Oryzias latipes: one gene and its partners. The protein of the gene in region 2 interacts with the protein of the main gene of each other region in a pairwise test. Links are inferred from orthologs where the notes say so. Each region holds a gene or a part of one and is shown on either strand. Other genes may lie near its edges.

The links.
Region 1: the proteins of ndrg4 (region 2) and receptor expression-enhancing protein 6 interact in binary tests that used the Homo sapiens proteins (3 or more experiments, as listed by UniProt). The two-hybrid records come from large-scale screens. The link is inferred for Oryzias latipes from reciprocal best matches to the Homo sapiens genes NDRG4 and REEP6.
Region 3: the proteins of ndrg4 (region 2) and arl6ip1 interact in binary tests that used the Homo sapiens proteins (3 or more experiments, as listed by UniProt). The two-hybrid records come from large-scale screens. The link is inferred for Oryzias latipes from reciprocal best matches to the Homo sapiens genes NDRG4 and ARL6IP1.
Region 4: the proteins of ndrg4 (region 2) and rabac1 interact in binary tests that used the Homo sapiens proteins (3 or more experiments, as listed by UniProt). The two-hybrid records come from large-scale screens. The link is inferred for Oryzias latipes from reciprocal best matches to the Homo sapiens genes NDRG4 and RABAC1.
Region 5: the proteins of ndrg4 (region 2) and agtrap interact in binary tests that used the Homo sapiens proteins (3 or more experiments, as listed by UniProt). The two-hybrid records come from large-scale screens. The link is inferred for Oryzias latipes from reciprocal best matches to the Homo sapiens genes NDRG4 and AGTRAP.
Region 6: the proteins of ndrg4 (region 2) and mal2 interact in binary tests that used the Homo sapiens proteins (3 or more experiments, as listed by UniProt). The two-hybrid records come from large-scale screens. The link is inferred for Oryzias latipes from reciprocal best matches to the Homo sapiens genes NDRG4 and MAL2.

What each region holds. Positions count from the first base shown.
Region 1 is NC_019862.2:22,302,291-22,305,790, forward strand, and holds part of receptor expression-enhancing protein 6, read left to right. Parts: intron 1-1,250; coding exon 1,251-1,419; intron 1,420-1,501; coding exon 1,502-1,647; intron 1,648-2,797; coding exon of another isoform or gene 2,798-2,812; exon of another isoform or gene 2,813-2,820; intron 2,821-3,500. UniProt on the Homo sapiens protein: Required for correct function and survival of retinal photoreceptors. Required for retinal development.
Region 2 is NC_019864.2:4,034,588-4,038,875, forward strand, and holds the start of ndrg4 (protein NDRG4), read left to right. Parts: upstream 1-1,488; 5' UTR 1,489-1,503; coding exon 1,504-1,579; exon of another isoform or gene 1,580-1,694; coding exon 1,695-1,833; intron 1,834-1,845; exon of another isoform or gene 1,846-2,152; intron 2,153-4,288. UniProt on the Homo sapiens protein: Contributes to the maintenance of intracerebral BDNF levels within the normal range, which is necessary for the preservation of spatial learning and the resistance to neuronal cell death caused by ischemic stress.
Region 3 is NC_019866.2:2,356,161-2,360,126, reverse strand, and holds the start of arl6ip1 (ADP-ribosylation factor-like protein 6-interacting protein 1), read left to right. Parts: upstream 1-1,166; 5' UTR 1,167-1,293; coding exon 1,294-1,329; intron 1,330-2,368; coding exon 2,369-2,502; intron 2,503-3,521; coding exon 3,522-3,641; intron 3,642-3,966. UniProt on the Homo sapiens protein: Positively regulates SLC1A1/EAAC1-mediated glutamate transport by increasing its affinity for glutamate in a PKC activity-dependent manner.
Region 4 is NC_019874.2:20,935,573-20,939,800, forward strand, and holds the start of rabac1 (prenylated Rab acceptor protein 1), read right to left. Parts: upstream 2,801-4,228; 5' UTR 2,745-2,800; intron 2,531-2,744; 5' UTR 2,466-2,530; exon of another isoform or gene 2,418-2,465; intron 1,183-2,417; 5' UTR 1,169-1,182; coding exon 1,047-1,168; intron 669-1,046; coding exon 456-668; intron 281-455; coding exon 183-280; intron 28-182; coding exon 1-27. Other genes in the region: dedd2 (DNA-binding death effector domain-containing protein 2), read left to right, coding at 4,147-4,228. UniProt on the Homo sapiens protein: General Rab protein regulator required for vesicle formation from the Golgi complex. May control vesicle docking and fusion by mediating the action of Rab GTPases to the SNARE complexes.
Region 5 is NC_019863.2:32,259,499-32,262,557, reverse strand, and holds part of agtrap (type-1 angiotensin II receptor-associated protein), read left to right. Parts: intron 1-753; coding exon 754-952; intron 953-3,059. UniProt on the Homo sapiens protein: Appears to be a negative regulator of type-1 angiotensin II receptor-mediated signaling by regulating receptor internalization as well as mechanism of receptor desensitization such as phosphorylation.
Region 6 is NC_019874.2:10,913,543-10,917,769, forward strand, and holds the start of mal2 (protein MAL2), read left to right. Parts: upstream 1-1,427; 5' UTR 1,428-1,588; coding exon 1,589-1,738; intron 1,739-4,227. UniProt on the Homo sapiens protein: Member of the machinery of polarized transport. Required for the indirect transcytotic route at the step of the egress of the transcytosing cargo from perinuclear endosomes in order for it to travel to the apical surface via a raft-dependent pathway.

The DNA of each region.
Region 1 (3,500 bases), on a different chromosome or scaffold from region 2:
TGTTAGACAGCAATCGTCAACCTTGGATGTTTTACAATCTTGTGCCACGTATTTGGACCTTCTCTGAATTTCTAGGAAAATATATTTCTTTATAACAGAAAGTTCCTGTCTTTAATTTTTAAGTAGTTCACAGAGCTTTTTATTATACAAATACAAAACACTTTGCGGTACATGTGTGCAAAAAGTATTTTATTAATAAAGTTTGATTTGAATCGATTTGTAAACTGGGTTTTTAAACAATAAAACAACATGTTTACTTTTTTAAGACAAATGGAAAATTAAGTAATGTGTGTTTCTGCTTCTGACCTGCAGTCTTCCTCAAAGAACAGTAATGCCTTAGTCACAACTACCCTTTAGGGTGGATGTGGGCGAAAAGTGGGGAAATTTGCACGGGCACACAGGGGTCCCGCAGGAAAAATTAAGATTGCAGTCCGTTTAATGAGCCTATAGAGAGAAAATGTTCATGTTGCTTTTCCCTATGGGCAGGCTGCGGGCAACAGGTTGTAGCAAACACTAAAACAACACATAAGGGTGAGTGCGGGAGAAATAGGTGAGATGCAGGAACGTTGAACAGATTTTTCCTATTTTAAGCCCCTCCTGAAATCTGTGCACTGCACTAAGGGCCCATTTATGATTAGTATTCGATACTGTATATTACTCATACAGTACACATTCCTTGAGCACACAGTGCGCGTTTTTTCTGCGCCCCGTGCTTTCAGTGAAATTAGGCAATCAGAGTGTAGTTTGTGTGGGTGCCCTACAGGCACTTTCGTGCAGAGGAGGGCTCGTGATATTTGATCCACGTTTGTATAGATACTTATAAATCAAAAAACGCTGTACGTCTAGTGTGAGTAAGGGGCCAATACCTCACTAATGACTAGAGTGCTTTGTTAGGGCACCGCATGACAGCATCACCCGTACACCATTGATTCATGGATAACTTACGTAATTCTTGCAAACACTTGACGATAGACTTACCAGATGGAAAATTCAATTTTTTTATTTTCCCTTAAGATGGCTGCAGGAGCCAAAAAGGAAAGTGTAAGACACGCCTGGTGTCCCTTTAAAACTGCCCCTGTCCATGACCCCCTGTGGGCTCGAACAACCCAAAACCCCACAGCCCCCGTACTAGTCAACCCCTTCACAGGTGCATGTAACTAAGGCATTACACCACAGCCCTTCTTCTAAAGAAGGAATTATAGCCGTGCAATGGAGTACATCAAATTTTGAGTTACTCCTTTACTCAACAGTGTCTCTTCCTGTTGTGGTGTATGGCTCCTATGTCATGGAATGGATCGCAGATAATTTACAACAAGGTAGTTCGTCCCATCTTCCTCCGCCATGAAGCAACGGTGGACAACATGGTCAGTGATCTCAGTGGGAAGGCCATGAGTGCCGCTGAAAACCTCACCAGGGAAGGTACGACCCGCCAGAGGCCTAAAAGCTCAAGACAAATTACCTTTCTGCTCAATAATATGTCTTTTCCCGCTTCCCTCTTCAGTTTTGTCCACTTTGGTGAAAAACAAAACCTTAGTGACGCCGATGGCCACAGTAGCTCAGTCAGACACCAGAAGTTTACCAAGTTCCTCTGCACAAACATCAGGGGCTAAAGTGGTGCCATTGCAACAGAGGGAGGAGGAACAAAGAGTGAGTATTCGTCCTCGACTCCTCCCTTTCCACCCTGACCTCCTAAAACCAGCTGCGTTCATTATTTTAATTGTAAGTGTCACTACATAACTAAAATCCCTTTAAAGAGCTACGAAAAGAATGCAAGACAACATCAAAAAGCCAAAATAAGTATATTTCTTTCATTTGAATCTAACTTAAAAGTTGTCTCAAAGCAACACAAAAAAATAAAAAGATAAAAAATACTGATCAATATAGTAATCATGACAGTAATAATCCAATTACGTACAGATGTTTGCATCAAAATCAGATTATCTTAATTGTCTGCTAATGGACCATATACAGGTTTTACTAGAACAGCCATAGATTGTGTAAGAGAACTGGACCGGTGGGTGTGACGTCATCCATAAACAACAGTTTAATTCTAGGTCCAACCAAATTAAGTCAATTCAGTCGCCATTTTCTTACAATACAGACGCCACCATGTTGGAACCAGATGATGTCAGTAAGCAGTAATTGGTCTGAGTCCAAATTTCTATGACAACAAATCTCACCAGTCAGGAATGGACTTATTGGAAGTCCACACCCCTACCACATGAAAGTGGACTTGCCAGAATCTGTCAATCAAATATTTTAACGTTGGACATGGGGACCAGCTGGCACTACCTACTTTTGTGATTTCCAAAGGTAGCAGAGCAAGAATAGCTATTCCGACCATTATAGTGATTGAGTAATAAACAGCTGTTTATTTCTCTATAGAAGTCTATGAGATTTTGACTTCTTGGATCCAGTGGGAACTTCCTGTTTGGAACACCAGGGAGGAGGAGTCACTCAGTCCAGTTCTCATATACAGTTAATGATTACAATTTACAAGACTTTTAAAGTAATTAACCTAAGTTAACCCTACTGAGCTTCATAAAACACAAACAAATCAACAAATCAAAGGGATTTCCAGCTTCTGAAGATGTTCTCTGTTATTTTTTATACATGCAGTACGTTTTATATACAGTATGTTGTTTAGCATGTTACCTAAAACTGATGTATATCAATTTTATTATGGGCTGTTTAAACTGTGGCCAAGTTAAAGACTGTATGAGGTCTGTAAAACAGTTTCCAGGATGTGTTTTTGGAAAAAAGGACAATCTACTAACTTTACTGCCACCTGCTGCAGCCTTTCCTTGGCTAAAAAGTGTGGTAAGTCTTCCAGTTTTGTGTGGAAGAGTAGAGTTTTTTTTAACTGTTGTGAGCAGAGTTAGCATGAATCCCACACCCTCATAGATGTGTGACATGAACTGACCTGCCAAGCCTCCACAGCCCTCCCTGTCCTGTATTTTTACTGCCAGGTGACTTTCAGGTGATGGATTCTTCCAAGTAGTCCAACTTTCAGGTGCTTTTTCCCCATTTCATCTCCTCCCACTGTCAAAATCAAAACATGGAAACCAGCAGAGAGCCTTAAGGGACTCCTTCCTTAAGTAACCAGGAGGCATCCGGACCAGATGGCTGAGCCACCTCAGCTGGCTCCTCTCGATGTGAAGAGTAAAAGAACCCCCTTTATGAGAAATGTGTCACACAGATTGGGACATCACTGGGGACAAACTCTAGAGCCTAGCCTGGGGTCTGGACTCCTCCCTCCAACCCCGGTCGGGTCCAACCTGAAGAAACATTGTTGGATCGCTCTCCCGTGGGCCCTCCACCTGTAAGAGAGTTCTAAAGGGGCTGATGTAGTTTGGGTGATAGTTGAAGGTGGGTTCCTCGGCAGCCCAAACCCAAATGGAACTTAGCTTTTGGGACTTGAACCTCACTTCTTTGGAAGGGAATGAGCCTGAGCTTGTGCAGGAGGTCGAGAGGTACGGACTAGATATAGTTGGGCTCAC
Region 2 (4,288 bases):
TCATCTTCATCTTTTTTGTGCAGTGCATTGGTGAAGATTTTCGTTCTAGATATAACAGAAGATATTAAGAATATAAGAAGATTTTAGGTCCAGATGCTGTGACTCAACTTCAAGAAATCTTATTGTGCACTGTTTTTGTTTCATTGTCTCCATTTGAGAAATAGAGAAAACAGAGACACCAGAAATGCCTTGCTGATGCCACAGGTCAGAGAAGAACACCTGGTTTAAGGTTTTGTCGTCAGTATTAGTGTTAGTAAAGGGCAGTGTGTCACAATCATTTAAATGAGAACAGTTCAGGTTTTTTTCTGTTTGAAACATGTAAGATTTTTGCAAAGAAAAATCACCTTTTTATTTTGACATAAAATAGAAATGGTTTCATAGCAACATCTCCCCTGGCTTAAAGCCACATTTGTTAACTAGTAACAATGGCAGTTCACTTTGGTTGCTGGAGAGTGAGTTGGCAGTGATCTCTAATCACTGCCAACCCTGAGAAAACTCCAGACGGATACGGTTCCAACGAGACTTGATGTTGTGGAAAAATTTTACCAAACCTTTTTTTGTGCATGTTGCAGCTTTCACTAGTTAAATATATTATTTCAGCGGGAAAAAAAACAGCATCTGTGTAACCTTATATGTGTTTTACATTTTTACCAAGACTGTACAGTTCTCAAAGATGACAGCAATCATTTAGCGACAAATATTTATTTACATTTGTGTGAACAAAATTTGATCAGAATGTGTGTCAAGAGTTGAAGGACTTTGTCTGTTGCTCTGGGATGCCAGTGAATATTCGGAGGCCCTGCATTCCTTGGATCTCATCTTTGAGTGCCTCATATATCCTTAACTATAAGCGATGCTGCTGATGGAAACATCTCCCTCAGTTTGTTGGCGATGCGGACCTCTCCGTCTGTTTGCGTTGACAGACATCTTTGCAGCTGCCTGTAGAGAGAAGCTTGGTTATGGCGAAGAGCATGGAGAGTAGAGACCGTCCTGCTGACACAGAACTGTGCAAGCATGACTAGAATGGAGTTACTCTTTAGTTAAGCCACACAAAAAACAGCTTCAGTCACTAACAAGTCATGTCCTTAGATCATTGACCTGATAAAAAATAATTCCCCTTCCATTTCAAATGGGTCAAACTGTGACAACTCCAACATGTTCTTTTGTTTTTGGATCATTGGTTACAACTGTTTTTTTTGAGTAACCTATTGCTGGAGGGTTCAGAGGACAATGACCCACATTGTCTCCTGAAACCAACCCTTCCAAGGTGGTGGCGCTCCAACTTCACCCCCCGCTCCCAACACTCAAGCTTGGTCAGGGTTGTACCCCTGTGATGGTTAGGAATGCTCTCAGTAATCTCACACTCAGGAATGCACTTCACAGTGTGCACATGCAGGGCAGGCCTCAGGACACAGTCACCCCTACAGGCTGTGAGGGCGTGGCCCATCTTCAGCTGGTGACAGAACCTTTGAGGACAGGAGCAGCTCGAGGCGCTGCAGCTGGATGTTTGAGCCGCTTTCACGTCATCACTGCTTCTCCAGACCCGGATCTTCTCTATCAGGGCTGGATTCACATCTCAGTCAGCTCAGCACTCACACAAACTGACATTTGCACACTTTCAGGTCTTTCTTTGTGCTGTGAGCTGCATTGTGCTGCATCACTGGTGAGACCACGTGCTCTGTGTTTATCACCAGGAAGGGGAGGGAGGCAGAGCCAGATTTCTCGTTTTGTCCATTGCCACCACAGACACACACACACTCTCATCCAGGCAGCCACAGGGAGGAGGCAAACCAGGCTGAGCCGCGCCGTGTCAAACTCTGAACAACACAACAGGTAGAGTGGAGCTTTTTACATCCGTAGCACGATGAGTGTCAGAGCTTCAGTCTGAACGACGGCCTTGCATGAGCTTTATGTTTTAATCTCATCCTCTACGTGTCTGAGACGGCAGACGGCAGCCTCCTGTGTGCTGTAGCCTTATTGTGTTGGAGGTGGGGGAGGAGGATGGTAAAATAAAGGCTGCTCTTTTGGCTGCGAATGCTGCTGAGCCTTTGTAGTCTAACGCCCTGCTGCCAGTTTCTGCCTGTGCACGGAGGAATGTTGACAGGCTGAAATTATTGACCTTGGACGACACAAAGCGCGCCATTTGCCCAAGGTAAGGATTCTCAGCCTGATGACATTTCTGTGGTGTTGAAGGGCTTTCATTTCTCTGATGTGGAGACATGAACGTTTGTCTGAATCCAGTGGAAGCAGCTGAGTGATGAATCCACAGTGGGGGGAAGTCATGGAAGTTGATTAAATTTGGTGCAGGATCGTGCTGATGGAGCATTTGCCAAATCCTCTTTTCAACACCTGAACGACAGAAATGCATTTCCTTAACCAACCAACTAGCTTGGTTTAGTCTGGCCCAAACCATCTACAGAAGACAGGGACATTTTGCTGTAAATAAATTAGTTAAGAATATACCACCCTCACAGTTTCCTCACAGCAACTCCTATTGCAGTTTACTTGAGGGAATAGAACCAGCAGCTTCTTTTCCTTCCATCACAAGTGCTTCTCTGTACTGGAGAACCAGCTGTTGAAGTTGAGTGTGTGTGTGTTCCTTTTTTTTGGGGGGGGTGGGGGGGGGGGGATGGGTCTGTCTCAGAGTTTATTATTAGACCCTTAAAGATCAAATCACTCCTGCTTTGTTTGTCTGAGCCGCTCAAAAATGCATTTAGTCTTTTTGTAAACAGCAGTTTAGCAGACATGCCAGCGCCCCCTAGAGGTGAGAAAAATAACAAATCGCAACTTCATGTTTGACTTTGAGGAACGTTCAAACTTTCCTTCAATTTCTTTTAACTTTGAACACTAAAATAGCTGCTGTTTTGTTCTCCGTGTGTCTACACCTGGTATCACATCAGAACTGCCCCGCTTGAAACTTGATTTCTTTTTATTGACCCAAGACTCAGACTTGGACTCGCCTCTGAGACGTGACCAGAACTTGGAGAAGATGACTTGTTGTTTTGGTTGCACACAAGCTAACCTGGTCTGTTTGGTCCTGTTTTTTTTCCAATCTGAAGAAACTAGAAATAGTTTCGATGTCAAATCCTGAAAAAACAACAGTCCACGCTCATGTATCCAATGTGGTGACTGTAGCTCACTAGGTCGAGCAACTTCACTGCCAGTTAGAAACTAAAATCCCAGGTTAGACAGTCAGTGTCGTTATCTTATACATGCTACTTTAAAGAGCCACTCCAATGAAAAATGTGTTTTTGATGTTTTTAACATGTTTTTGTGGCATTTATCTAATGATGGAGGGCATGTATAAGACATTTTGCTTAAAATTGCATTTCTGAGTCTTTCTTTATTAAGTATTTTTGTGAATCAGGAGCAGACGAAAAATACCATTTGAAAAAGCTTGCAGGTACGATGTAGGAGTTACTACTGCAAACCCCAAGTTCCCTGCTCCGCTCCATTCAGATACATCCACCTGCAGACAAATATGTATGTCTTATTTTACCTCGTCTGGGCTGGCTTCTGGATCAAAAATATAGGGCTGGATAGCTCCAATTTTGATCGCCGTTTTAGTTGTACAGGTAATGTTAGATTGGGGCTGTGAGCTGGTGGAAGAGAGAGTAAACAGGTAGCCATCTGCAACGAGGAGAGGAATAGGGGTCAGGGTTGCTCCATGCCATTGGTCGCGCCCTCAACTCATAAACAACTTTCTAAGTAACTACTGCCACTCTGCAGAAACTATGTCCTAGAAAATGACAATTTTTTTTGTTTTTAAATTTTGGCTAAAAACAGCATAATCTTAATTAAAAGACCACTGGGAGCATTTTAGGAGCTTTAGCTACGGTGTTGGCATTCTTTGAATTACCATAGCTCAAAACCATAACCATATAGGCAACATGTTCCGTTTACACATTTGTCAATGCAACATTTTGTAACGGTTTGCATTGGCTTAACACTTTGTAAAGTGTTGCACATTGGTACTAAGCTGCGTTCTCAGCTTTTAGAATCTGTTGGAATTATGTTATTTGCATAAATGGTTGAAGATTAACCGTAATTCGAAGAGCGCGTTATTTCCTGTCACCGGGTACAGTCCCAGTATTAAAAGGTTAAGTTCCAATACAGCAGAGGGTATGATGGGTATTTTGTAATGGGTAATAGCGGGCAAAGTGTGTTTGTTTCAGTGACGGTATCTGGAAGGCTCTGGGCATGATTATTACCCAACTGCCTAATTCACTATTGACTTCTTTACATAGAGGTGAGACTGAGCAACAGCAGCCAGAAGGATGTTACCCAA
Region 3 (3,966 bases), on a different chromosome or scaffold from region 2:
CGCAGACATAGGCCTTTTGCTGTAAGTGACTTTAAAACTTCACTAATGTCATCAGAAATACTACAAAAAATGTATTTCTAGGCTATACTAACGTTTTATGTTTAAATAAATTATCCAAGAAGGCCTGAATAAATTAAACAGGTAGAATTCACGCATTAGCTAGCTAACTAACTAGCATGCTAATATAACAGCTACGTACCAATTTGTAGGTTTCGCTCGATTTTTCTTTCTTTTAAAAGAAAATACCGAACTTATATCAACTTAAACTTTGCGTCTGATACCTTACTCCACTGTCAAATTGGTCGAATTGATCCTCAAAACAACCGTATCCTTAGAACAAAAGCACTCTTAGCACTGTTAGCAACCAGATAGCTCTCAATTCAACCACGGCATAAGTGAGAGGAAGACAAAACTACGTCACACGTTCAACAGTCGTCCAAACCGTGATGCGTTCAAGTGCCGTAAGATAATAGTAGGAACATTGATGTTCATGAGAATTGCGTAGTTTAGTAATGCATTTATTAACTACATTTGCTTATCATTAATTTGTAATAAAGTGAACTGAGCCACAATACTAAACAAAATTCTAAAAGGTATTATTTTTTCCTGATATACTGAAGTAAAGGTTAAACCCATTAGTAATGAATTCATTTAAAAGTTTAGAAGCGTTTCATCAAACCATATTAAAATTGAAAAATAAAATGTGTAACTATCCATTTTTTTCTGAAATATTATTCAGCTAGTGATATTTTTAAAATTGTTTTACAAAATTGTATATTTTACTTTCATCTGTGAGCACTTTTCTGTTGTCTATTTTGAATTTGTTTCTAAAATATTCAGTACGTTAAAGACGATTTTGAATTTTTAACTCAAACCTTTAAAAGGAAACGTGAGTCACTTTTTTAAATTTCCTTATTTCTAACAAACGTGTTTTTTACTATTATTTTTATTTATTTATTTATTTATTTATTTATTTATTTATTTATTTATTTATTTATTTATTTATTTATTTATTGGACATAGCGAAGGGACATTTTTAAATGTATGGATGTGTTTTATTTAATTGCTTTTAAAAAGGACAATTGTCGGTGTGCAGAGAAGCATAGAACTTCATTTCCCAGAATGCAAGTGGTTAAAGTTGACGCAGGTTTTGAGATAAAAACATCCTGTCTTAGCTCGACCGTTAGAGACGCCGAAGCAGCAGGTGGAGTGCAGTCTAATCCCCAGCTCCAGTTTAGCTGTAGAACTTTAAGGGGTTTCACGCCACAAATCTAAAACACCGAAACCACCGTGATGGCTGAAGGCGACAACAAAAGTTCAAACGTAATAGTAAGTGCACAATTTCCCTCCTTTTCTTCATCTCGTGACGTATTTTGGTGGTTTTAGCCTAATGTGTTCAACGTTAGCATGACTCGCAGATGCTAATTTTACTAGCTTTTCGCCGCATAATATTTCCATTAATGTTCATTATTAACTTACAAACTGTTAATAATATTAACTTAAAGTTTTGTTTGTATATGTTGTTAAAATTAGTTGAGCTTTCCACCGCGACTCTTCTTTTTTAACGCTAGTAGCTAACGTTAGCTAGCTATCTAGCATGATTTTTAGCTGGGTTTAGCCTTCATCGATCGAAGATTTTGATTGTTGAATGTTAAAATTGCATAACATAAGCTTTAATTCTTAATAATATAAAACGATATATGATTCTTCTTTTGGTTTTACTAACAGAAATGTTGGCATGTACGTTGGTTATTTCTCAGAGACGCCCCAGTGGGTTTAATTAAAATACTCCCCGCATTATAATCGTTTTGCGGAACATGTCTCGTTGCGGATACTATAGTTTTAAAGCTCCATTATTGCCTAATTTAAGACTTCCGCTTAATTGAGCCACGTCATTTCCCCAACTTTTAGAATAAATTACTCAAACCAAACTGTTGGTTTTTGGGCTTTTGGCTGCAGTGCCAGACCCTCCTAAAAAGAGTTTAGGCCTCATTTCAGTCACAGTGCAGCATTAGACTAATGATTTAAGTGTCACCCTGTGGGTAATAATTTCCAGTGAGTCACAGTTTTGTTATCAGTGACTCTGACTGATAGCTTTTGTTTTAAGGAAGATGTTTTTAGAAAGGGAAAGGCTGACAAGAGACCAAACAAAGAAGGGAGTGTATAGACAAATATTCATTTGTCGTTTTAACTATTTATTCAGGAATGTTCCTGAAAGCTTTCTTCTGTTTTTGATTCATCTGCTGTCAAAATAGAGTAAAAGCAGGAATAAAAAAAAAAGTCATCAAAATAGAAACATTTTTTTTTACTGGGGACTCCAGACTGGTTGGTTGGTACCGGGTTTGCTGAAGCAGTGTTCTGTGTTTAGGCTCAGGAAACTGCACAGCTGGAGGAGCAGCTGCAGGCCTGGGGAGAGGTGATCCTGGCTGGGGATCGTGTTCTGCGATGGGAGAAGCCCTGGTTCCCTGGAGCTCTAGTGGGAGCTACCACCGTGATCTTCTTGTAAGTCGGGTTTACTCTATGCTGGGTTGGGTTTTAGAACATGCCATACCAGAATGGTTTCATCTGGGATTCTTTCATTTTTCTTTCGGATGTCTACTTTTAAAGATCGACGCTTGAATTGTTAATGAGGTGACCTGTAAGGACAAAAGGAGGATATATAGTAATGTCGCTACAGAGAATTTGCTCTGAAAAGTCCAATTTCCATGAAAACTTGAGAAACTCTTCATTTTTATGTTTCATTCTTAGAGTTGAACAACAATTGCTTCTTTCAGGCCTAATTTTGTTGCAACACAAGGTTTTTCTTTGCCTGAGGGAAAGTTTTCGGTTCTCTTTCACTCTGCCTTCAGTTTTTATCAGAGTGCAAATGCAGTTGTGTAAATGTTTTCAGAGTTGAGAGAAGTTGGTAAATGAAAATGTATGTAAGGATTTAAAACTTTTAAAGGTAGTCAGACTCATTGACCCACGATGAGGGAATCTCACCTTCTTGGGATCTTCAGTGCTGTTGCCCAGACTTGCGTAAACTCATGTCGGCACATGGAAAAACTGAGGTTTACGGCTATTACCATGTGTTCTCTCACATCATGCTGCATTAGACACTGAGTTGTTTGTATTTGCCAACGTCTCTCTTTTTAACTTCCCGTGTGCTGCGCTGCGCCTTTTCCTGTAGATTTAGAGCTTTTTGTATCTGAAGTCATATTCAGAAAAAAAAGCTGCAAACTATCAAACATTTCTAGTTGTATAAAATATCACAGCCTGAAGATGCAGACTAGCTTGTTGGGTTTAAAAAGCACTTTGTGTTTTGTTAAAATCACAGTTCAGCTGCTTTCTTAATGTGCTGCATTCCTGTTTAATTCCCCCAGTGTCCACGCCCTTCCTCCATCTGCAGCCCACAGTTGGATGATTGTTTATCAGCCTCGCAATACTTTTTCAGATGTCGTATTCATAACCGCACAGAAACCTCTGTGTGTTGTTGTTTTTTTTTTTCAAGTAGATGTTTGAATGTTTGCTTCCTGTTTCAGGCTGGTGTATTACCTGGACCCGTCAGTGCTGACTGGACTCTCCTGCACAGTCATGCTGCTCTGCTTGGCTGACTACTTGGTTCCCACCCTCGCCCCCCGAGTATTTGGCTCCAATAAGTGGTGAGAGGATCACCCAACCCTGTTTTGATTCTTAGTTTGGCATCAGAGCCGACTTGGTTGACAAAAAAGTCTGAATGGTTTTGTCTTCATGGTGGACTTCTCTTTGTCAGACGTGATGCCTAAACGGAATGTTCATTGAGCTTTGAAATGTCAGAATGAGCTGAGAAGCCAGTTCACTGAAAACCAGACACCATGACGGCAGAGCGACACGCCGCAGGTGGCCAAGGGCGCCCTTCATCCCTCTCTTGGTGTCTTAGGTTTCTGGATATTTAACCCCCCATCAGCTGTCCGTGACCCGCGCTGCTCTACTTAACACAAATAGCAG
Region 4 (4,228 bases), on a different chromosome or scaffold from region 2:
TCTGATGAGGGACATTAAGCTGTTTGCCTGGAAAAAAACAAAGTTGGCAAACACATGAAAACATAATTCTCTGTGGCTTTCTATAAGATTCTCCCATTTCATGCATGGCTGAAAAAAACTCTGAAAAAAAGTTTTTTCACTTTCAGGCAAGTTAAGGACAGCAGTTTTTCTGTTTTACTTACCAAGAACAACCAGTCTGGACTCTTGAGACTTCAGGTGGATTATGTAGAAGGCACCAAGAAACACAGCCAATGCAATCAGTAGCATAGGGGAGCTTATACTGACAAGAAAAGAAAAAAAAAAAGGCTCATAATGCTGTTACTGATTCAATCTTTTCTTTTTCTTTTCTCAATCCCGGTGGCCTTAGTGTGTGCAGTCAGTGTTGCATCTGTTATTTCATAAAACTTCAATAATGTTTTGAGGTAAGGCCAAAGCAAACTCAGGTTTACACCTACATGCAGTACAGGATGAGACCCAGGAAGATGAAGGTGTAGTTGCTGTTGTAAGTTTCCACATTTTTCACCACTCTCTGGCATGCATCTCCGAAGTTTCGTGGTTTTGAAAACTTGCGTTGGTCCACAAAACTGGCCCACGGTCGAATGGACAATCGGCGCCTATCAATCCACTCCTTGGCCATGCTGGCAGAGAAGCCTTTAGGGAGCCAGAGCCTACAAAATAAAGGTAAAATGGTAATAAAGCGTACAAACTCTCAAGGAAAAAGTCAATGCATTACAACTTTTGACAATATGAGCAAAACAAAAAAGTATTTTGTAGTTTGATTAAGGAAATTCTTAGAAACTTTGACAAAACAAAACTTTAAAAAAAAAAAAATTTTAAGTAATGAGGCACAGTCTACAGAACAGGAGGATGAGGATTTAGGACTAACTCCACCCCCAAAAGTGGATGTGTAAAGACAGTAACTCACAGAGCCTTAGCACCATTGCTGTGGTTTTTCTACAAACGCTGTTTAATGTCCACGTCCATCACCGAAGAAAGTTGTTTGGGTCACTAAACTCCTTTTTAAAAAAAACAAAACTGACTCGTACTTTGAAAGGATTCCAGCTCCACCCGTGCCAGTTGGGTGAGCATCTTCAGCCGTAAACAGATCTCCAGCCTTGCTGTCCATGTCCACTTGACAGTTCTCTCCCTTTGGTACTCCAGATGGCATCTGCAAACCTTCTCCTGAAAATAAAAGAAAATAGAATAAATAAAATAAAAGAAATAGTCTTAAGATTTTTCCTTCACATACTTTTTTTTCCCCCTTCTTCGGATCAGCACAAGATAAATAGTCCAAAAACTGTGTGGAAAAATGGCCTTCCTTTATATGGAGATAGATGTTTTTTACGAGAGATGAAGTGGGATAAAAGAATATTAACGTTTTTGAGTTTGAGGTTGTTTAATGAAGAGCCTAAGTATTAATAATAATTATAGAAAATCATAAAATAGAAAATATATACATATGACTGAAGACATATACCCAAATACTACAATGGGTAACTGAGTAAACAAATGAACGGAAGATAGAAGCTCAGGAAAGATCTGACTCCTTTTCTTTTCCTTTTTTGCCTATTGTTTACTGTTAACATGCAGATAAGTGCATGCCAAGTTTGCATGTGGGATGTTGTTACATCATTGGGTTTGTCAAGTGGTTTAAAGATTTTGTTTTGTTTAGTTTCTCCATTTTGCTTCTAAAGTTAATTTAAAAAAAAAAAAAAGAAAAAAAAAGATTGTCTTATTGGAAGTTTGCATTTTTCCTCGTATTTTTCAATGTACAAACGATATGTATCCTTTATAAAACATGTCAGAATTTTTCTGGATTCTTCTTTATTTTCCCCTGTTTAAATGGGAAATAAAACACCATACACCATACAACCATACAATCTTTACGATTTTTGTAACACTCCTCGAGGTGCATCAAAAGCAAACTTAAATAAATAAATAAAAAAGGAAAAAGGAAAGGAAAACCTGTTTACTTTATTTTTTAAAGGTAAATAACAATTGATATATTTTATAAAATGTGTTTAAAATGGAGAAACAGCAGTAACTACAAAAGAAAAACTACATGATCACTAGTTTCCACATTATTCTTAAGAGCATAGAGGTTAGATTTTAATTCAAACTTGTTCCTGATTGGCCAGAAACATAGGAGCGGATCTCGTAAGTGGAAAATTTTTGTCAACAGGGCTTGGTCACTGCCACATCACTGACAAAGGCCGAGAACTGAGCCAGAAAACGACATTTTGAGCAAGTAAAAATCTTTTAAGGATCAAATTTGTCCATATGTGTCGAATTATAAGTGGAATAACTTTTATAAAATGAATACTACCTACTTCTTCGTGTCTCATGTTAAATCAAACTGATTGTACGAAGATCACAGTAATTTATAAACATTGAAATGAAAAGACATAAGATTTTACCTTCGTGATGTGTCAAATGTCAAACCTACAGACGATGTAGATACTTACAGACCAAGTTATGGATAAAAAGCCAAGTTGTTTTGTTGCTGTTGGTCCTCACGGATGTGATGTGGCTGAAGAAGAAGAAGAAGAAGAAAAGAACTTCCTACAACACCAATGCCGCACACTGCCCCCTGCTGGTTGCACCAAAGAACTCCCCAGTCTATGATGTTATTTTTTCCCTTACATTTAACCATATAAAAATATTTTATTCATTCCTCTATTTAACTTTGAAGTCGACAAGAAATCAAAAAACATTTTTAGTGCCAAAGTGACAGAGATTACTACCTTGATTCTTTTAGGAACAATCTGGGAACAATCGGTATGTTAAGTGTGGCAAAAACGTGACCTTACGTTATGAAACCCAGCCCGAGAGCTGTGATTGGTCAATTTACGACTCACGTCTAGCCACTGTCACGTCGCACGTTGCATTGTGGAAGTTGCTAGATCATCCAGCGTCAGGCAAGCTATCGCGGCTGAAAGGTGAGGTCTAATGCACTCTAGGAATATTCTCTTTGTGGAAAATGTAACCTAATAGTGTTTTAAAGGCGCGTGTTTAACGTTACGCTGTATTAGTTGACGCCTTAGCGTCTGCTAGACTAATAAGTTCAGCGGGATTCATCATCATGTCGTCGCACCGACCGTCGTTGAAACAAACAATAGACCGTCTTATTTGTCTCTAGAATTGTTTTTCTGCTAATTTTGCGTGGTGTTACGTGAAGTATAACTGCCAACGAGCTCCTGTGTGTGTGTTTTTAATCGAACAATTGAAGAGCTGTGTGTTTTGTATGTGTTGTCCCCCACCCTACTGATTACATAACTCTGTTCAGAGGAACGGTACCGAGTCGGTAAAGATAACATTAGCAATTGTAGCTAGGCATATATGACAGTAATTAAACACATCTCGATGCATTTCATTATAGGTGGTAGCTGCTTGCAAGTTTGAAGAAAATCTTAAATAGTGAGTGTTCGTTTGTGGCACACAATGTACACACAAAGACTTAACATGACAACTACTAGCTACAATTAAAATACCCACTCCGATGAAAATGAAAATTTAGCTTAGAATTGCATTTCTGAGTATTTCTTTATGCAAACTGATGTGAATTAGACGCAAAAAGCTGTTGCAAAAAAACGTGTAAGTGTGACGTAGAAGCTACTACACCAACCAAGCTCCCTCACTGCTCCATTCTGATGCTTCATTCTGACACATTTGGGCTTCATTTTCCTCGTCTGAGCTGCCATCTGGCTCAAAACTGTACGGTTGGATAGCTCCAATATTGTTCACAATTTTTGTTGCACCACTAATGTGCAGTGGAAGTTGTGATTGTGAGGGGCTGTAAGCGAGTGTGTAAAGGGATGGTGGTAAGGGGGGGCTAACTCCATGCCAGCAGTCCTGCCCACGACTCTGGGGGGTTAATTTCTAATTAACTCCTGCCGCTATGCAGAAACCTTCCTAGAAAACAACACGGGGAACGCTTTGAAAATATTTTAAAAGATGATCGGAGTGGGGCCTTCAAATTGTTACGTTTTTTAAATGAAATTATTAATTAAGGAACCTGATACCATTTGTTTGGTTTCAAGTTTCAAACATAAACATGGTTAAAGTAATTTTTTTGTGTTTGTTTTCTTTTTCCCCTAAACTCCACAGTTTTATTTGAGTGGGAAACTTGGAAAAAAGGGGTAAACCATGGCTTCAATGAATTATCCTGAATGCACACTGAAGAATTCCTTATACTGGGATGAAGCAGAGTGCCTTAACTACTATGGGA
Region 5 (3,059 bases), on a different chromosome or scaffold from region 2:
GGGGTGTTTAACCTTTAACCCTTACAGAGCCACTAAGTCTCGCCTCACCCTTTAGAGAAGAAGGACACTCATTTGTGTTCTTGTTACCTTTTTGGGGGGGGGGGGGGGGGGGGCATAAGTAACATAAAACATGAATGTGAATGGAAGTCATGAACTACTGTTCACATGACATCCTTTCAAAATAAAAGCCACCCTGTTGATCATCTCTAAGCAGCCAAAGTAGTGGTGTGACGTCAGCAGGGATTGAAAACCGTTTAGTATTTATCGATTTATCACCTCTGCCACAAATGTCTAAAGCTGACTAATCACAATTATATCAAAGCTAATAAAGTGACCTGCATTTTATTTTTTTGAACCATAGGGAGCTTAACAAAATGAAAAAGTATAAGAAATCTGGTTTCTCATCGGCTGCGCCTTGATTGTGGTTGTGCTTATTGACCTCCAGCTGATTTTCTGTGGCTCAGAAATCTGTCTAATCTGTCGGTGAAGGAGTTAATAGTACTTTATTTCACTTTCTTTCAATTTGACTTACCTACTACTTTACAGTTAAAGATTTCATCAAAGTCCCTCCAGGATGAAAGTTCCAGAAGAAAGTAGAGTTTTCACCCGGGGGTGTGGCTCTCTGATATTGAAAACTCTATTCTGGAACTTTTTTCCTGGAGGGCCTTCGATGTAACGCTCAACGTTCTGTTCTTTCTGTTTGGATCTCACTCCTCTGCCTCTGCTCGTTTTCTGCCCCCCCCCCCCCTGCAGTTTCTGGTGGGCATCACGGTGACCATTCTGACCGACATCATCCACTTCGGAGTCTACTTTTCCCCCGGCCTCTTCGACTCCAGCGTGTTCCGCTTCAGTGCGGGGATGGCCATCCTCAACCTGCTGCTCAAACCCGTGTCCTGCTTCTTCGTGTACCAGATGTACCGCGAGCGGGGGGGCGAGTACAGCGTCAACTTTGGTGAGTCCCGTCGGCGCGGTAAACGCATCAGAGAGGGTTCTGGGAGGACGGGAGTCTTTCACCTCCAAACGGGGCAAATGTTCTTCCTGAAGGAGCAGCACAAACCTCCTCCTCCTCCTCCTCCTCCTCTCAGCAGCTCCTTCAACTCCAACAAAACTTCATTTTAGACAAAAGTTTCTGCAGAGCGGGAAGGATTCATTTGAAACGTGTCTACGAGTTTTGGGCGGAGTAAGCCTGCGCTAACTTCCCATCATCCCTTGGTTTACTCTCTCTCCCACTAACTTACAGCCTCCCCCAATCTAGCATTAGCTGAGTTTGTGTATCGCTGATTGAATTTTTTACGTCACAACTTTGGATTTTTTCATCTGCTCCTGATCCCCAGAAATACTCAGAAAAGCAAACTCAACCTTAATTGTCTTTATATTTGATCAGACAAACAAAAAAATGTTAAATACGGAGGTTTAATCTAATCGGACATGATCTGTTTTCAGGTTAGCACACAGTTTTGGAAACCATCCAAAAAACACAAGAATCAATTAGTTTTTTATTTTTATTGTGTTTATTTATTTGAATCGGGACACTGCATATTAATCAAAGATTCAGCATAAATATGCCAGAGTTTTAGCACAAGAGCTACATTTCATCCGTTGTCCTAAGGCAGAAAGGTTCAACAAATTCATCTACAACACATTACAAAAGCACAATATTAGTGATAAAGATATTTACTAAGGTTATTTACAATAAAACAAGAGTCTAAAAAAGCCAAGAAAGACGACAATAATTTGTCTGCAGGACTGGTTTGTTTTCAGCTGTTCTGATTTCTGCTGATCCAGGAAGTCTGATCATCTTAACTAATTATTTAAATTAACTTGAAGTAATCAGTCAAATCCTCCTGAACTTCTGCTGAACATTCAAGTTTCTTCTTTGTTTCTTTTTCAAGGTTTTCCTGTTTTTAGTCTGTGCCGGTCACAAAAAGTTCAAATCAACTCTGGTTTTAAAGTTCTGCTGCATTTTAGCTCCAACTTCAAAAATGAAGCCGGTTAAAAAGTGAAACTGTCCCGGGGGGGTCCGTTGAATCCCAGTTTTATCTGAGAACTTTTGAGGACCAGTTTCTGACATTCTAAAACCCTTCTAACATCACGGAAAATATTCCTTTCTTTTCTGCAATGATGTGAATCAAAAAGCCCCACATTTGAACTTTTTACAAATGACCAGAAAGGTTTTCCTTTAATACTTTTCCTCAGAAATCCTTTTTTTTATCCGTCGACTTTCTGATGCGTCTCCTCCTCATTCTCTCTATTTTTTTGTCCACGTTTTCCATACATCGTTTAACAAACACAACTTTTTATTCTACATTCACTCATTCTGTGAAAAAAATTAAATAAAAAGAGAATTTTCTGTTTTTAGTAACACAGAGAAAAATTAAAGTGAAATGAAAGGGATTCAAACGTTTAAAGCTTTCTAAAATGTGAAGCAAGAATATTTGTGCAAAGAAAAACTGGAGGAAGAGTCATCTGAATAAAAAGCCAACAAGAAGAAACCGAAACGATAGAAAACTAGATTTAAGGATTAAATTTACACCAGAGAAGAGAGGAAAATACTTGGAAATGAACATTGACTGTATCAGAGAACTGGACTGAGCGAGTGTGATGTCATCCACAGAAAATGTTTCTCTTCCGACTCCAACCAAATGAAGTCGAATCAGCCGCCATTGTTTTGTGATTGTGGTCGCCACCATGTTGGAGCCATACGTCATCAGTAAGCAGCCATTGGTCCGAGTCCTTGTTTCTATGGCAACCATTCTCACCAATCAGGAGTGAGCTTGTTGGAAGACCACACCCCTTCCACTGAAAGCAGAGTCACTCAGTCCAGTTCTCTTATAGAGTCAATGGACCGCTCTGGAATTGGAGCATGTGAGGTTTCACCTGTGCTCTCTGGTACGGACATCTTCTCAGAATATTATATATTGCTCAGTAATAAACAGACTGCAGACACTTTGTCACCTTTCTGGTAGCCATGAAGCCTGACATCCATGAAGAACGCGGGCAGGAGGCTCCGCCTTTGTTCATACAGACACGTAACGTTACGCAAACAAAACATGTAGTGA
Region 6 (4,227 bases), on a different chromosome or scaffold from region 2:
AATGAGCTCGAGAAAATGACTCATATTTGATTTTGTTTTTTTAAAAAGAGGTTATTTAGTGTGCTAAAGGTAATATATGGATGTCGTTTACTCTGACAGACTTCAGAATTGCATGGTATAGGCCCTTTAATATTTTAAACTAAACAGTGAGTACATTTTCTTATAAATGAAATAAATGTAAAATTAATAGTGTTTGACGCCCTGCGACAGACTGGTGACCTGTCCAGGGTGTCCCCAGCCTTCGCCCACAAGTGGCCGGACACGCTCTGGCAGCCCCCTGACCCCGAAAAGGACAAAACGGCTTAGGAGATGAAAGAATGAACGACTGTTTGACCTCTGAATGTGTTATTTTTGAAAAACCATTGAGCCTTTTAAAGGTTTTATGAAGAGAATCCAAATCAAAACTAGTATAAAACAAGAAAAAAACTCATCACAAACAATGAAAAATAGACTTTGACTATACAAGGGAAAAGATTCAGTCCACTAAAAATGAACAGTGCCCTCTTGGAGGTTAAACCAACATTGGTTAACATAATCTAAACTCAAGCTAATCATTGACAGTGGTTTATCATAAAAACTGTGCTTTTTCACCATGACAGCCCAGTGGTTCAGTTTAAATCTGTCATTTATTTCACAGGACACCATACAAGTGTTATTTTAGTAACATTTGTGTTCCTTTAAAAGTCTTTGGTGAAATTACAATATAAAAGTAAACTTTTTTTTCAATGTTATCTAGGTCATTTCTATTTTTTTAAAGCAGGTTTTTTTTTAAATCATGTTTAGGTTTATAAAGATTTAGGTTTCCCAACACCGTCTGGTCAAGTTTTCCTCTTGTCTAACAAACCTGATTAAGCTCCTGAGTTTAATCATGACTTGAGAATGAGTCATTTATTTGAGTTGGGTGTGTTTGACAGAGAAAAGCAGTAAAACACTCTGGGCAGGGATGCTTAAGGAACAGGGTTGTGAAACACATAGTGATTCCTAATAAGAAAAAGGAAGAAAACTGCTATCCTTGATCGTTACAGGGCCAAAGGGCATTTGATAAAAGCATAATCATGCAAATTTCAGAGTTGGCAATATCAAACACTAATAATAAAAGTGTGGAAAAACTTGAAGAAGTGCCTCATATATGTTTTACTCGTGCCTGTTTGACACATGCGAGATTTTCTTTCAGAAATGTTAAATAAAATGTAGGTTATTCCAAATAATTGATTTTCCCAACACTTTTCCTGTAGAACATTGGACAAAATAAAGGGGCTTTTTCTACTTATTTTAGTCAAACTACTAATTTAGTTGACTACACAAGACTACAATGTAATAACAATACCAGAACACGTTTATAATATATTTATAATAAACTTTTTAAACCCGTCCTTGTTTTATAAAATGGATATTGTGATGTGGGATCTTCCGAGACGTCCCTGAACGCATCCCTCGTATCCAGGGAGTGGCCGCTGCACCTGTCCGACCTGTTCGAGGACACATGATTCCGCAGGAATTTCTGCCTCTGTGCCCGTCCTTTGTTTAACGGGTAAATTCAGAGAGCTTAGTTATTCAGAGAGCAAGGAGATACAAGGAGAGGTGAAAAATGTCGGAGCCAGCCTCTAACCCCGCCGCCGCCACCGCTGCCCCGGTGGACCCCGCCGCCGCCACCTCCTTCCCGACGGCAACCATTTCTCTACCTCTGGGTTTGGGTGTGTTACGGACTTATTCTGGAGTTCTCATCTGCATAGAAATAGTGAGTGATTGTTTACAAGCGGTTGTTTTATTCTATATTTATTCACATCCTTATTACTAATATATAGTAAAATCTGTTAGGAATCAGTTTTTGTCTATAGTTTAGTTTGTTACTGTTGTTGCAAACTGTATCTGCTCATTCGACATCATGTCTCTTAGGGATGCGACTTTTGCACATTTGTAGTCGTGCGCTAAAGTCACGTCCTTTAATATAAAATTATAGAAGAAGACCACAAGTGAGTTTTGGTTTGTGTCTACATTATTGTGTCATAAACATACAAGGTGACCTCTGCACAGCACTTCCATGAAAGCTCTAATCTAATCTAACAGGTATTTTACTACTTATCTTGATGCCTTAGTTTGTGCAGAAAAGGAAGAGCATATGTTGGAAACATTCAAAGAATTAATTGCCGATCTGTGGCTATTAAGGTGTGAGCCTGGTTGATGTTAACCCTTGAACTTCCCACCCACTAAAATAATGCTTTTAGTTGGTTTTGTGAAAAAGAAAACTTACCTAATAAGGATGATCAGAGAAGAATGCATTATGAACTAACAATTTATGATACTTTGCTTCAAAAGAATCATAAAAAATTGGACATTTTAATCAAGGGCTAAGTAAATTCCTTAAAAAGATTGAGAGAGAAAACAAGCAGCAAAGATGCCAAAATGGCCAAAGTTTTTCAATTATTCACCAACTAAAATGCAATAACACTTACGTGGTATAATTAATTTGCCAAGATATTGAGTGCCTCGGGGTAACTGTTCAAATGATGCATGACAATTTTCACATAGATGCCATACACTTAAAACTTTCAGCTCATGTTAGTAAAGGGGAGCATTAAGCAGGAGAACAAATCCAACCATTGCAGAAAAATATTTTCATATTTACCTCTTGAACTGCATACATGCCTTGTCCTCAATTACAGGAAGAAAGTGTACTTTCAATCATTCATCTGCTAAACCTGGATTGTCCCTTTTGGGGTCATGGGGCTGCCGGAGCCTATCAAGGCCACTCGTGGGCAAAGGCAGGGGACATCCTGGACGCCAGTCTGTCACAGGACCACAATCACACACCCATGCACACCCACATTCACACCTAGGGACAATTTAGAGAAGGGCTGCACGATAAGAGGAAAACTTGCGATATTAGTGATCAATATTGCGATGACGATATAACTTGCAATAAATGAACAAATAGCAAAATCAACAAAAATATTTCCATTTCACTGAACAGTTTAATTTAAATAAGAGTCAAAATGCCTTTAATTATTCTCCAAATGACCCTCGTCTAATTAGGAGGGCAACATCTAACATAAAAGCTCCATCGGATTGGTTAGCAATGTGAAAGGCTCCATCTGATTGGTATCAAGGGATTTATTCAATTATGTATTCAATTCTTATGATTCAAGTGGCCATAAGATTTTTTTAGCACATTTAAGGTTTACCTTTTATTGCGATTTTAGCTGTCTTTTGTGATATGGATAATGCACAGCGATAATGCATCGCGATAACAATAAATTTGCGATTTATTGTGCAGGCCTAATTTAGAGTAACTAATTAACATGTGAAGCATGTTTCTGGAGGTGGGCGGAAGCTGGAGTCCCCAGAAAAAGCCCATGCAAACTCCACACAGAGAGGTACCCCATTGGTGTTCTGTTTCATGTCTATGGCGTTTCATGGCTGCCACTAATTTTATCAAGCGCAAAGATAAGGACTGACTGAGCGAAACTTATAACTGCGCAATTTCAACCGAGCGACCCCGCATTTTACAACTGCACAGTTGCAATCTTAACCGAGTGGCGATCCTGCATGCTCGCTGGGTTTGCGCGAAGTGTTCAGGGGGTGTTTTTGTCACTTGGGGGCAGTAACCTTTCTGGTTGATCTGATTGGCAGAAATCTGTATGTCAAATCCAGTGAGGCAGCGGGGCGGGAGTTTAAATTTTTTTAGAGGCTTTAATAGAAAATAACGGCGAACATATTGTGGATTGAAATGTTAACGAAAACACGAATTCAGTGATTTTACATGAGAAAAACTTACACAAAAAAAAAAACCCACTGCACTTTCTTAACTTAGCTTATGAGCTGAAGTAAAGCTTTTTCTTTTCCCTGAATGAAACCAATTAATGTGTGCGATTTTTTCATTCACGTTTTTATTTCACACACACACACATGTACAAGAGGTTGCAACACAGATTCACCATTTCTAATTGATTTGTTCATTTATATGTTTATAAAGAAAATTGATCAGTTTACAATTACAGTTTGAGTTTTATTAAAATACTGGCTCATTTAAGAGCATAGAGTGTTTTTAATCAATATAATCTATATGTTTTTGTCACTTGAGGCAGTAACCTCTCATTTTTTTGGCTTTGATAGCATAAAAGACGACGGATGTAACGTGGATTAAAATGTTTACGAACAACCCAAAACCAATTATGGGAATAAGTTTAAGTTCAGGTTTTTTTCGACTGGGACATAATGAAAGACCAA